2 linked regions of the Drosophila melanogaster genome follow. The protein of the gene in region 1 purifies or fractionates together with the protein of each later gene. This does not show direct contact. Each region holds a gene or a part of one and is shown on either strand. Other genes may lie near its edges. The genes, in order: nSyb and Snap24.

The links.
Region 2: the proteins of nSyb (region 1) and Snap24 purify together in Drosophila melanogaster (affinity purification with mass spectrometry; 2 studies listed by BioGRID, with this or other methods). This does not show direct contact.

The regions. Positions count from the first base shown.
Region 1 is NT_037436.4:1,631,578-1,639,440, forward strand, and holds the start of nSyb (neuronal synaptobrevin), read right to left. Parts: upstream 6,098-7,863; 5' UTR 6,056-6,097; intron 6,036-6,055; exon of another isoform or gene 5,982-6,035; intron 5,696-5,981; exon of another isoform or gene 5,693-5,695; 5' UTR 5,243-5,692; coding exon 5,241-5,242; intron 4,433-5,240; exon of another isoform or gene 4,389-4,432; coding exon of another isoform or gene 4,360-4,388; intron 4,108-4,359; coding exon 3,957-4,107; intron 3,883-3,956; coding exon 3,724-3,882; intron 3,661-3,723; coding exon 3,609-3,660; intron 3,331-3,608; coding exon of another isoform or gene 3,317-3,330; exon of another isoform or gene 2,928-3,316; intron 2,230-2,927; coding exon of another isoform or gene 2,213-2,229; exon of another isoform or gene 2,132-2,212; intron 1,929-2,131; coding exon 1,672-1,928; 3' UTR 1,481-1,671; intron 878-1,480; coding exon of another isoform or gene 690-877; 3' UTR 1-689. Other genes in the region: Mettl2 (methyltransferase like 2), read right to left, coding at 6,464-7,277, 7,332-7,495. UniProt on the Drosophila melanogaster protein: Involved in the targeting and/or fusion of transport vesicles to their target membrane. Major SNARE protein of synaptic vesicles which mediates fusion of synaptic vesicles to release neurotransmitters.
Region 2 is NT_033777.3:9,760,583-9,764,883, reverse strand, and holds Snap24 (Synaptosomal-associated protein 24kDa), read left to right. Parts: upstream 1-1,733; 5' UTR 1,734-2,034; coding exon 2,035-2,673; 3' UTR 2,674-3,579; downstream 3,580-4,301. Other genes in the region: CG8478 (uncharacterized protein), read right to left, coding at 1-203, 258-858, 949-981; Mpi (mannose phosphate isomerase), read right to left, coding at 3,739-4,301.

The sequences.
Region 1 (7,863 bases):
AAAACATTTAACTGCCTTTTCTCTGGCGGCCCGTCGATTCAAATTCATCTTTTTGGATTATACATTTCGAATATCATATTTGCGTAACTTTACTTAGGAACAAAGCTTAGATTTCATTTCTTTGGTTTCGCGTCTGTTCCGAAATAGTTATGATTCTGTTAGTTTTGTCTAGTCGATTTGCTAAGGAAACTGAGTTCAAAGAGCTGCGAACATCGGGAAGCGACCGCCTGTCCTCCTGCTTCCACTGGCGCTCCTTGTTGCCAGTGCAGCGTAGAGATGCTAGTTCCGTATAGGGTGGTAGTACAGGGTAGTGGTTGGAGTCACTCGTAATATTCAAGTTCCATATATTTGTATTTGTATTTAGATTTGTATTTATATTTATAATTATATATACCGTTTTATGCATGAAATAATGTAACCATAAACAAATTAGCAACAACTTCAAATTGTCCGGAGCGTCTGCATTAGATTTAGTATTAATATTATGACGTAAGTTACTTAAAACCTCTCACACCAACTCGTGCACATCGTCTAAGTGAAAATTATTATTGAGTTTTCATTGCAATTCTCGAGATTTTCTAGTTTAACTGAGTTTTCCTTTCTTGGTTTTCTTTTGTCTTCTCTGCTTTGTTTTCGCCCGCTGAAGGAGCACACTAATCGAGAAACTTTCGTCCTGGCAGCGGGATTGCTTACACGCCGCCGTGATCGCCAGCTCCTGCCGATCCTCCTGCTCCTGCTCCGTCTCCTGCTCCTGCCGCATCCACCAGCGATGACTGTCCTCCGGCTGGCTGCTGCGGTGGCGGCGGCGGTGGCTGCATGTACTGTGGGGGATACTGGTACTGTGGCGGCTGCTCCCCGCCTATGAGTCCAAGTTTATCTGTTTTAAAATGATGCAAGAATTAGTAGGGCACGACATGTGATGGCTCTTTGCGCTCTTTAGCCAATCTCAGACAACGATACACGAGTATACGCCAAAAATATTACACTTCAAGGCTTAAAAGCTCACTCATGACGGAATATAGCAAGTGGACATGGGATGTGGACGGTGGGTGGGGGCGGACAGCAGGGACAACTGCATCGAACAGGTATGGATATATATATATATATATACATATATATTTATGTACATTTAGGCAGTCACTGGAAGCTGTCTTCCTTTGAGCCTCCCGAAGAGAAGTCCTCTCGCTTTTGGTGCAATAAACTTAGGCCAATTTTAAAATACATACAACATTGAATTGTAAAAATCAAATAATAAGGCACTAATCACACATAGACATCGATTAACTCACATACATGCGGCTAAGGCTGGCGGTAAACGATGAGACACCGTTTACAGCCAGCCGAAATAATATAAAACCAGAGGAACGGCGGAAACGGAAGTGGGAGCACAAACGGAAACGGAAGTAAGAAGAAGCGCAGGTGTCAAATTACTGGGTATGATTATTTGCATTGATATGTTGCCGTTTTTTCGTTTGCTTACAGTGTATCGGATTAGATCGATTTTGTCAATGGTACAAAGAAAGTGTGAAATGTTTTCTTTTCGATTTTGATTAATTTTGACTATGGTTCTACGGATGCGTCTTGGTGGTTAATCGATGGCTGATTAGTTTGGTTGGTTGGTTGGTTGGTTGGTTGGTTGAATGTTGGTTTTCAAGAGAGATCGTGAGCGTTCTATTGTCCAGTCGCCACTTCATTCGACGGACTCTGTGGGTGGTCGGTCAATTTCTCGGCCAATGGTTTCTCGAGTGTCGGTGGTTCAGATTTTAGATTTTGTGTATGGTGGTGTGGTTGTAGTTGTTGTTCTTGTTGTTGTAGTAGTTGTGGTGGTGGTGGTGGTGCTGAATCAGGTGCAGTTGCCGATGCCGGAGCCACCTGCTGCTGCAAGGCAGGAGGCTGCGGAGCAGCATTATCATCCGACATGTACGGTTCTACGAGAAATTTTTCGGTGAGTTCATGTTGTTGTTTAATTCAAATCGATTTGTTTTCAAAGCGAGCAGATAAAGATGATAACAATAAAGTATAAATATAGAAACGGTTTTGAGCGATGTAAAACAAAGGATTTATCAACTGGTGCACCTAGCAATAAATGTGGCGTATGAGTAATAAATAAAAGATTGCTCTCGCTGTTTACCTCACACACAAAGTGTTATATTGGGTAAATTGATTTGCTTATGGTTAATAAAATTGTACAAAGCTGAAGCTTTCTGTGTGATTATTCTTCGTCTTTCTCTGTAATTGTTCAAAAATATGGTTCGGTGTTGAGAGTGTGTCAAATCAAGGTGAAAACATTAAAAAAAAACTTAGGTAAATGAAGAAGAATGGCAGTACTTTATGCTTTTGCTGTGGTTCAGTGGCACAAGAAAGGCTGGCTTTTCCAATCCGAAGGCCGTTGCGCTTGCGTGGAGGCTTAGTAACGAGTAACGAGTAACGAGTTGCGTGAAGGCTTAGTATTGAGTAACGAGTTACGAGAAGGGACTACTTTTACTGGGGAAGTGGATTCAAGTTTTGTATTTTACACAGGACATGGCACAGTCGTGTGTCTGTGGCTGGGGTGCTGCTGCCAATATCAGAACGAAACAAACGAAAAACGGATACGGATACGGATACGGTTAACGAAACACTGAACAAACCACAAACTTTACGATTACGGCTTACGGGAGTTAGAACTAGCTAGCTAGAACTTAAGGTCCTACGGATAAGGCTAACGGGCACCATTGAGTATCGGTCCATCTCCGCCAGATCGGCTTCTGGCCGGGGTCCTTCCATTGTCGTCCAGACCCTCAGCCGCAACCCACATGGACGGAGCTGGCGGATCCGATACTCGGCGTGATCTCAACTTGATTACTGGTGGTGGTTAGGCAACGTAACGAAACGAAACAACACAGGACACGACTTTCAGTGGGCATCAAATGAAATCTTTACCGAACCTGTGCGTATGCTCGTATGGAACCAGATGATGTTGGGCTTGGGCATACATGGTACACAATACAAATACTCGCATATGTATGCCACTTAGCATTTAGTTATTGTTCTAGTGGTGGCTGAAGCGCATGACATGATATGATCGATCGATCTATAGTTATGGGAATTTCGCAAGGCATCTAGGTCGAATCGGTTGAGCGAACGGTCAGTTGGACTGTGAGTTCGCAGCTCTACTCATAGCAGTTGTGAATGAGTTGAATTTGGTTTCGGTTTTGGTTTCGATTTGGATTTCGATTGGTTCTTATTGGGTTGATTGATTGGCTTTTGATTTGGTTTCGATTTGCATTGCATTGCGGCTAAGAACTAAATTCTTACGGATTAGATAGTTAGCAATCTACATAAAGTTACCTAGAGAAAAAAAGTGGCGGAATTAAGAACGCAATTTAGATTCGGTGTGTAGATAAACGAAAGCGATTTGGGCCAACGAAATCAGCGCTAAATCAAGGCGAACTCAAAAGACAAACACAACTGGGTAACTGGGTGATCTTGAAAGTATCTTCGGTTCTGTGTGTGCGTGGTGAGTCGAGTGGTGTGGTGTGGTGTGGCGTGGGTCAAGGTCAGTTTCTCTGGGGTATGTGTGTCCCAGAAATGAGTGCACCAAGTTCGCCCAGGATCTGTCAACTTACTTGCAATAATGCCCACGACAACCAGGCCAATCACGCCCATGATGATCATCATCTGTGCGGAGAAAACAAAGATTGAAGTTCGGTCCGACAAGGTAACTGCCATCGTCGCACTTACCTTTAAGTTCTGAAGCCAGAATTTCCTCTTGAGCTTGCCCGCCTGCTGCTCAAACTGCGAGGCACCCTGCTGCAAGGCATCGGCACGGTCGTCCAGCTCCGACAGCTTGCTGTCGCGCTCCAGCACCTTCTCCACGTTCGTGCGCATGATGTCCACGACCTGGTCGGGGATTCAGGGTTGCAGTGGTTAATGGAATGGCTGATCTGTGATCGACTTTCAGTCCCGGAACTCACCTCATCGACCTGCGCCTGCGTCTGCTGCAGACGCTTCTGTGCCGCGATCTGCTGCGGATTGTGTGGTCCGCCCACAATCTCGCCATCGCCGCCCTCTCCGGCCGGGGCTCCGGCATTGGGTGGTGCATCGCCAGCTGGTGCAGCGTCCGCCCTGCGGAGGAGGTCGTCATTAGTCATCGGATGCGAGAACAAGAATAGCTCGGGCCAAGATTAATCAACTTCCAACGGGGGCTCTCGCATTAAATACAGTACTTAGATTACACAAAGAGTGGGTGTGGGTGGGTGGTTACGAACGACTATGGTTTCTAGCTTTAATCGAAATATCTCCAAGATACGTGTGGGCTACGGACAGTGCTGGAGTATAGTTCTAGCCAGCTACCCTTTAACTTGGAGAGACACTTACTGTTCCTTGTTCTTGTCTTTCTTTCCCATCTCAGACCCCCAAAAACTTTGACCTTTAACTCGGCTTCTGGGCTCTGCGGGGCCAAAGGAAGGGAAATTGTTAATTTTAAATAAAAGAATTACAATAGGCGAAGCTACTTATGCTGGACTAGTTTGTATGGTTTCTACGTGATGCATATTTTTTAGTGAAACAAACAATAGAGTGAAGTATCTCAGTATTATCCATAGTCATTTGGTCATTTGGTATTGGTTATTGTTGTTGGCAAAATGTTTTCATCGAACCGTATTTCCCTTTCCCACGACAAAGAAAAAGAAATCAATATCTTACCCTAATCCCTACGACCGGCGACAATTGGTTTTTTTTTTTTACCTACGTGGAGGGAATATTTTTGGATTTCTCAACTTTCCCCGGCTTTTATTGGCAAAATCAATTTTATATGGAATCAAAGAGCATTATCAACAACTTGTATGTGTGTATAAGACGAGCTTTTCTTTTGATCATGACACATATCTTATGTTTGGTTTCAAGCGACCAAAAGAAATAGGTGCAACTTAGTTTGCATGTCCTGACTCACGGGTGCGAATCGTGTTTTTATTGATTTTGCGGTGTGAGAGACTTGGCCATGTGATGCCACAACGTCATCGCCAAGTGATTCATGCCTAGCGAACCGAAACGGCAGCTGCAGCTGGCCCGTGTTCCTTTTACGGATTTTACGGGCGCGAGCACTTGGACAAATGACAAATGAAATGAGCGACCCATGCTGCGTATACTTAATGCGGCTATCAAACGAGCATTCCCTCTGTGACGGCGAAAAGCAAGGCGGGGAATCGAAACCCCCATTTCCCCGCCGGAAAACGAATCAATAACGTCCATCCACTTACATGGCTCTGGTGGCTGTGTGGTTGCTTCTGTGGTTTGGCTGGTGGTGCTCTGGTGGCCTCAGCGAATTCGGCTGTCGATGATTAGGATGAAGGTACTCTATGCACGATGCACTTGGCCTCTTTCACTGTCTTCCACTGGCGCAGGTCGGGATGTGGGATGGTCAGTGGGCGGTGGTGGCGTTGGTGGTGTAGGTAGTGGGTGGTGGTGCAGCTGAACTCTGTTTCGTTGTTTTTGTTCTAGAGGGTTGCGCTCTCAGTGCCGCTTCTCTCTCTCTCTCTCTGTTTCTCTCTCTCTCTGTCGCTCTTCCGCCAGAGCTTTTTCGCCCCGTCGTCAATGAAAATTCACTCCACTCCACGGGGGGATTGGCTGGATCTGGATGATGTGTATGTGTGCGGGTAACACTTGCCACGACAGCCTTTCGCAGGAATTTTCTGGCTCAGCGCTGGAACTGCTGCTGAATAGAGTGCGAAAATAGTTGCAACTATTTTTAGTACATCGGTTAATGCTTGAAATGGGCAGCTATGGGATTCTAATTGGGACGTAAGAGGACTATTTGGGTGGCAGCAACACGCCCAGCCATGAGGCATGTCCTTCCTCATTTCCGTTGCATACCCCCAGGGGCACCTAAGATGTCTTCAAAATGCAAAACGTTTTAAAAATAATTTCAAGTGCCCAACTGGCCAACGTGGGCTCAGAAGAAAAAATCAATGAAATTCTGCACGACAAGGGTTTTCGCTGACTTTGGTTGACATTTCGTTTGATCTTCGTTTTCCTAATCAATCAGTTTTAGCACTTTTGATCAGAATCACTTTACTTTTGCTCGGGCAACTTGAGTTTACAAAAACCAGGCTTAACTAATATTTTACGAATTTTTTTACGCAGCACCAGGAAAATTTTCACTTACGACGTTTTTGGCCAACTGCGAAAACTTGCAGCTTTCCTAACTGTTATGTGTATTTGGGGAAAAAGCTGCCTGGATGGCCAGCAGCGAATGGTGTTCCAGCGAGAAGCTTTTCCTTAGCGATTTCCAAGTGCCGATGGCCAAGGGGTGGGAAATTTAAAAACAAGCCGGGCTTTCCATCAAGAAAAAGAAATGCTCAAAGTTCTAGTAATATTACAGTTTGAAGTTTTAACTTTGTATTTTTAAATATATCGTGTAAATAATTATATCAATTGATTTGAACAAGGTTTAAAATGCACAGAACTATTCGTCTAAATTGATTTAAAGCGGTTTCCTGAACTTTGTCTGAATCCACACGCGGTACATTTTCAAGCCGCGACAGCGATTAACTTGCAGTCTTCGGTCCACAATGAGCTGCTCCTCCTGCAGCCCCGCTTGAGTCATCATACCCCGCAGTTCTTCCTCCGTGAAGAAGTACACCATGGTGCCGTCGCCTCGCACGTAGAAGTTGTCCTCCATACACTTGCCGCTCTTGAAGCGCAGCTGTGCCAGGTCGTATCGTCCGTAGTCGCGGAAGAGGAGCAAGCCACCGGGACGCAGGTAGCGATAGCAATTGTCCAATACCCGCTGCATTTTCTTTGGCTCAATTGCGGACAGCACAAAAATCATCACAATAATGTCCTGTGAGTTTTCCTCGAAGGGCACCTGCCAATGATCCAGCGTGGCATCCATGACAAACACCTCGCAGCGCTTCTCGTCGAACTGCCGTTGGCTTCGCAGGATTTCAATGGCCCGGGCGGAGAAGTCACATCCGAAAACCTTGAGCTGCGGTTCAGAGCTGTACTGTAGAAGGGGTAAAATTGTGTTTCCTACTCCACAGCCCAGTTCGAAAATGCTACGTGGTTGCAGTACCGCCGAATCCGCCGCCAGAGGAGCTAGTTCGGGGAACTCCGTAAACAGCCAGTGGCGATCCTTGAAGAAGCGGTTGTCGTGAATGCCGTAGAAGGAATCCCAAAACTTGGGGGCGTCTGTCTGAAATCGCTCCTTCTGCTCCGCTTCCATCTTTGAGGTCGAATTCTTGGCTACAGCCGCCTTCGCGGCCAGTTCCTGCTCTTCATCCCATTGCACGTGGTCCCTGTGAATCCATGTTTAGAGGGATTTTCATGAGTACTGAACGGCAGATAAGTACCAGGCGTTAAACTCGAACACCTCTCGCGCGTCGGTGAGCACCCGGCTGCCCGCTCCCGACGGTTTTTTACGCTGGCGAGTGTGTTCCCAACTTTTGCTGGCCAATCTCCGGAGGATTTGCCACCCATATTTACCAAGCATTGTGCTTGAAGACGTCGTCAGCATCCGTGAGCAGGCGGGTTCCGAACTGCGGTCGCTTTTCGTTCTCCGCGGCGGGGTTGTCACTCATATCGGACAGGAATGACGGTATATATCACCTGTTTGTGCGATCCAAATTATATATTTTGGTAAACACGCCGCCAGTGTGGCCGTGCACCGATCCAATAAAGTTAAACCGTTAGTATTTTCGAAGCGGCTCTCTTCCGAGCGGGAAATCGGATGTACCCGTTATCGCCCTTTTTTCCAAAAGCAATTGTGAAATATGTGTTCTATGTGTGTTTAGTTTGTGGCGTGTTGAGTACGCATCGAGTTTTTACCGAAACCCCTTAGAGAAAAGGGAAAAATAAAGTTGAAAATTGCGGGCAAATGTAATC
Region 2 (4,301 bases), on another chromosome or scaffold:
ACCCGAATAAGTGGAGCTCATGGACTGCCTCTTCTTGCCCGCCTCCACTTTTAATTTGGAGGTCGCTGGCTTCACAGAATCAGCGGAGATCTTTAGAGCTTTGGCAATTAGCTCAGAGACTTCGTTCACTACCTCGTTGACATGGGCGACCTCCTTTTCGGCTCCGGCTGGCGAGACCAGCATGGATACTCCTTCGTTGGATACTGTAAATGTAGATGTTTATAGAACGAAACCATATCTCAATAGTATAAACCTACCTTCAGTTATATTCTCTAAAACTACGTTCGCACTCAAGGGATAGACTTGGCTGGGAGCTGGGGTCTTGGCAGCCTCCTGCAAGGATACATTGTCCATGGTAGCATCCCCTGTTTTTAGGGTATTGGCCTTAACCGTATTGGCGGTCACGTCCACTGAACTGGACAAGGTCGAGTTATCGCCGCCACACCCCTCCGGTTGTGTGTTTTCCTTGTCGTCAATTTGGGTCAGATCTATGCTCTCCATGATCTGTGGTGTCTGCGTTTCGGTCGAAATATTGCCCTTGGAGGGAGTGGAGCACAAGGCGTTGTGCCGGTTAAGAATACTTTTGTCAAATGGGCGCAGAGGAGAATTCTGGTCCGGTTCCCCAATGGTCAACTGATGCAGATCCTTTAGGATAGTGCGCCTTAGGTCCTTATCATCGGTGTTTACCTCCACCTTGCTGTTGTGCACCTCCAGGAACTGGCTGTTCTGGGTGACCAGGGCCGACTGCCACTTGGCATTGGACAGGGTGTCCTCCGCGTCAAAGGATAAATACATGGAGACGCTCTCATCGTTTGTCATTATCGATGAGCTACGGGAATCGATCTGCTGGAAGTGAAACTATTGTTTTAGCAATGAAAATGGGATAATGTTCGGAAGTCTTTTCCCGGCAAATGGAAGCAACACCAACTGAAACCACCAAACACTTGCCTTGCCGGCCATAGTTCTGCGCGAATCGTCCATGGTTAAGTATATGCTATTCCCAATTGGCCACGAGGAATTCCCAAATTAATAAATACAAGCAATTAAGCAAAAATTCGAGCAGCTGAAGACCGACGCTGTACCGAAAAAACAAAGCGTTAATATTTCAAACACACTTTTCAACACTGCGCGCGCAATGAAGATAGCAACGGCGCCGATGGGAATGCGCGGCTTTAAATTATGAAAAGTATTGAAAAAACTATAAATTCTTCACTACTTTCAAATTGATGTTAACGCGTAGGAGACTTTGTAGAAATAAATCTAATTTTTTCGGCACACGACGAATTGAAAGGTTACAGTGACTAGATGGGAAATATTTTTGAAAACATAAAATAATTGTGTTTTATCAGACTCGAACAGGGTTCATGTCTTAGATAAAAGTGTAATATCAGACTGGATTATTAGTTTATGCATGGTAAATCGACTTTTAAACTCAGATTTAATAGTAAAATGTAAGAAAGCCCTCTTTCGTAAATAGTTTGCAGCTTGTTTTGCTTAATTTCTTTAATTGTACTTGTTGCGAACTAAGCCTAAATGCAATATTAAACTTTTAAACTCAGATTTAATAGTAAAACGTAAGCAAGCCCTGTTTCGTAAATAGTTTGCAGCTTGTTTTGCATAATTTCTTTAATTGTACTTGTTGCGAACTAAGCCTAAATGCAATATTAAACAGTGTGAACACACGTAAAAATCGCCTATCGAAAACGACATCGATACTAACATCGATTTTTTTGCAGCTCTAGTATACAAATTGGCGAATTGTTGTGTGGTGTGAAAATTCATACTTTCGCAAATAAATTATTAAACCTTGGCAATAAGTTCCTACGTACGGAGCACAAACGAGCTCATCCCCGCCCCAATTACATATCCACCGAGTTCACACACCGAACCAGCACCAAGGGTAGTTTTTCATCTCGCGCGAGTGAGTCACTGGCCAGATTTCCCCACCCAAAAAAAAAACAAGACAGCCGTCTTGCCTCTCAACCACTTGCCAAGCTCAAGTTCAAGTGATCTCACCAGATAGATAGTTCCGAAATGGCCGCCGTGGAGAATGCCGAGCCGCGCACTGAGCTCCAGGAGCTGCAGTTCAAGTCCGGACAGGTGGCCGATGAATCCCTGGAGAGCACGCGTCGGATGCTCGCCCTCATGGACGAAAGCAAGGAGGCTGGAATCCGCACGCTGGTGGCCCTGGATGACCAGGGCGAGCAGTTGGACCGCATTGAGGAGGGCATGGACCGGATCAACGCGGACATGAGGGAGGCGGAGAAGAACTTGAGTGGCATGGAAAAGTGCTGTGGCATCTGTGTGCTGCCGTGGAAGAAGGTGAACATCAAGGACGACGGTGAGAGCGCCTGGAAGGCCAATGACGATGGCAAAATCGTGGCCAGCCAGCCGCAAAGGGTCATTGATGAGCGGGAACGCGGCGGCATGGGTGCACCACCGCAGTCCGGCTATGTGGCCAGGATCACGAACGATGCGCGTGAGGATGAGATGGACGAGAATCTCGGGCAGGTGAACTCGATGCTGGGCAACCTGCGCAACATGGCCCTGGACATGGGCTCCGAGCTGGAGAACCAAAACAAACAGGTTGATCGCATCAATGCCAAGGGCGATGCCAACAACATTCGCATGGACGGCGTGAACAAGCGCGCCAACAATCTGCTCAAGAGTTAAATATGCACAACGGCCACGTCCCGAAACCATAGCGAACATGTTAGTCAGACACCACCTCCATTTCAATGTTGTTAGGGAAAGAAACCAATGTTGTGGGCACAAACCGTAGCTGGTGGTATTGCGTTATTGATACCATATATTATACACATATACAAGTAGTGGCAACTACTCCTGGCAAACGCAAGCGTAACAAACCCATCTACTTACAAGAACTTTAAGCCGCCGAGCCGGATGAACTAACTACTACTTTCTAAAACTATATATATATATATATATATATATATATATATATATATATATATATATATATATATATATATATACATATATGCGAACCAACATACTAACTACTTACTATTACTACACTCGTGTACAAATGGCAACCAGATGGCGCCGGAAACAATTTTATTATGAGATTTACCGTATATGATGTACTCTGTTTTTGGTACAAACTTTTTGAGCATTTTACCGATCTTTGTGAAATCAAACCAAGCAACTGCTGAGATGGATAAATGTGAATTAATGTATTTACAATTCGTAGAACCACCGCATCCCGCACGGGCACCGAAAAACCAAACAAAGACGGGCGGAAATTATGTATAACGTAGCCAATTTTATGTTCTCCATTGTTAACCCTTTTTAAGTAGGCCATGTATTTGGGCATTTCGCAAGCCCAGCACAGCAGTCCAAGCACCAATTCTATTGAATTACACTAGATTTGCACTCGAACCTCTTGCTTCGTACATATGAATAATTTATCCCCAGTGAATGTAACCCCGATCGAGTTACGTAGCTCTAGCTTAAGTACTTGAAATTGTTGGTTGCAATTATCGCAAATATTTAAGAAACTACCTGTTTGTGCGCAAGATATTTCTCGTTAATTATTAAATGTACTATGGAACGAGTATAGCCAATTGATTAGATAACTTATTTATCGCTACTATTGCCACTTTAGCTTACATTCTTAGCTCTTAATTGCAAGTAAATATAAACAAAATAATTCACCACCAAAACGTGTTAATGGATTTATTGCACTGTACAAAATATTTCGATTAACTGAGAATTTTAGGGCACTCGAAAGTAGTTGCTGGTTGCTATGTAGCCGCTGAAGTCCTCGTCGCAATCGTCGGACTGGGCGAATTCGATTTCCGGCGCCGCCTCGACGGGAATGTACACAATGCTGCCGCGGGTTACCAAGATCTCCTTATCTCCCTGCTGGGTTTTCAATTTAAGAATGCGGGATCCCTTTAGAACTATCAATATGGAGCCGAATGCTTGTATCTCCAGCTTGTACGACTCCAGCGAGTGTTCGATATTCACATTTATCACTGCAAAGTCGGATACTGGCGGAATATAGACCTGGACCTGGTCATCTATGCGGTACGGAATGAACTCCTTGCGATCCTTATACGAACTTTCGAAGATCACAGATTCCAGCAGCTGGTCCACATCCTTGTACTTGGGCGTTAGGCCCGCCCGTATCACATTGTCCGAGCAAGCCATGCACTCCACACAGTCGCCGTCCAGGTAGGCATGAATCTCGTTCGCGCCCAAGTAGATCGCCTGGCCGGGCTGCAGGCGGATTAGGTTGAGGAAGAACAGGGACAGTACGCCCACATCGCCGGGGA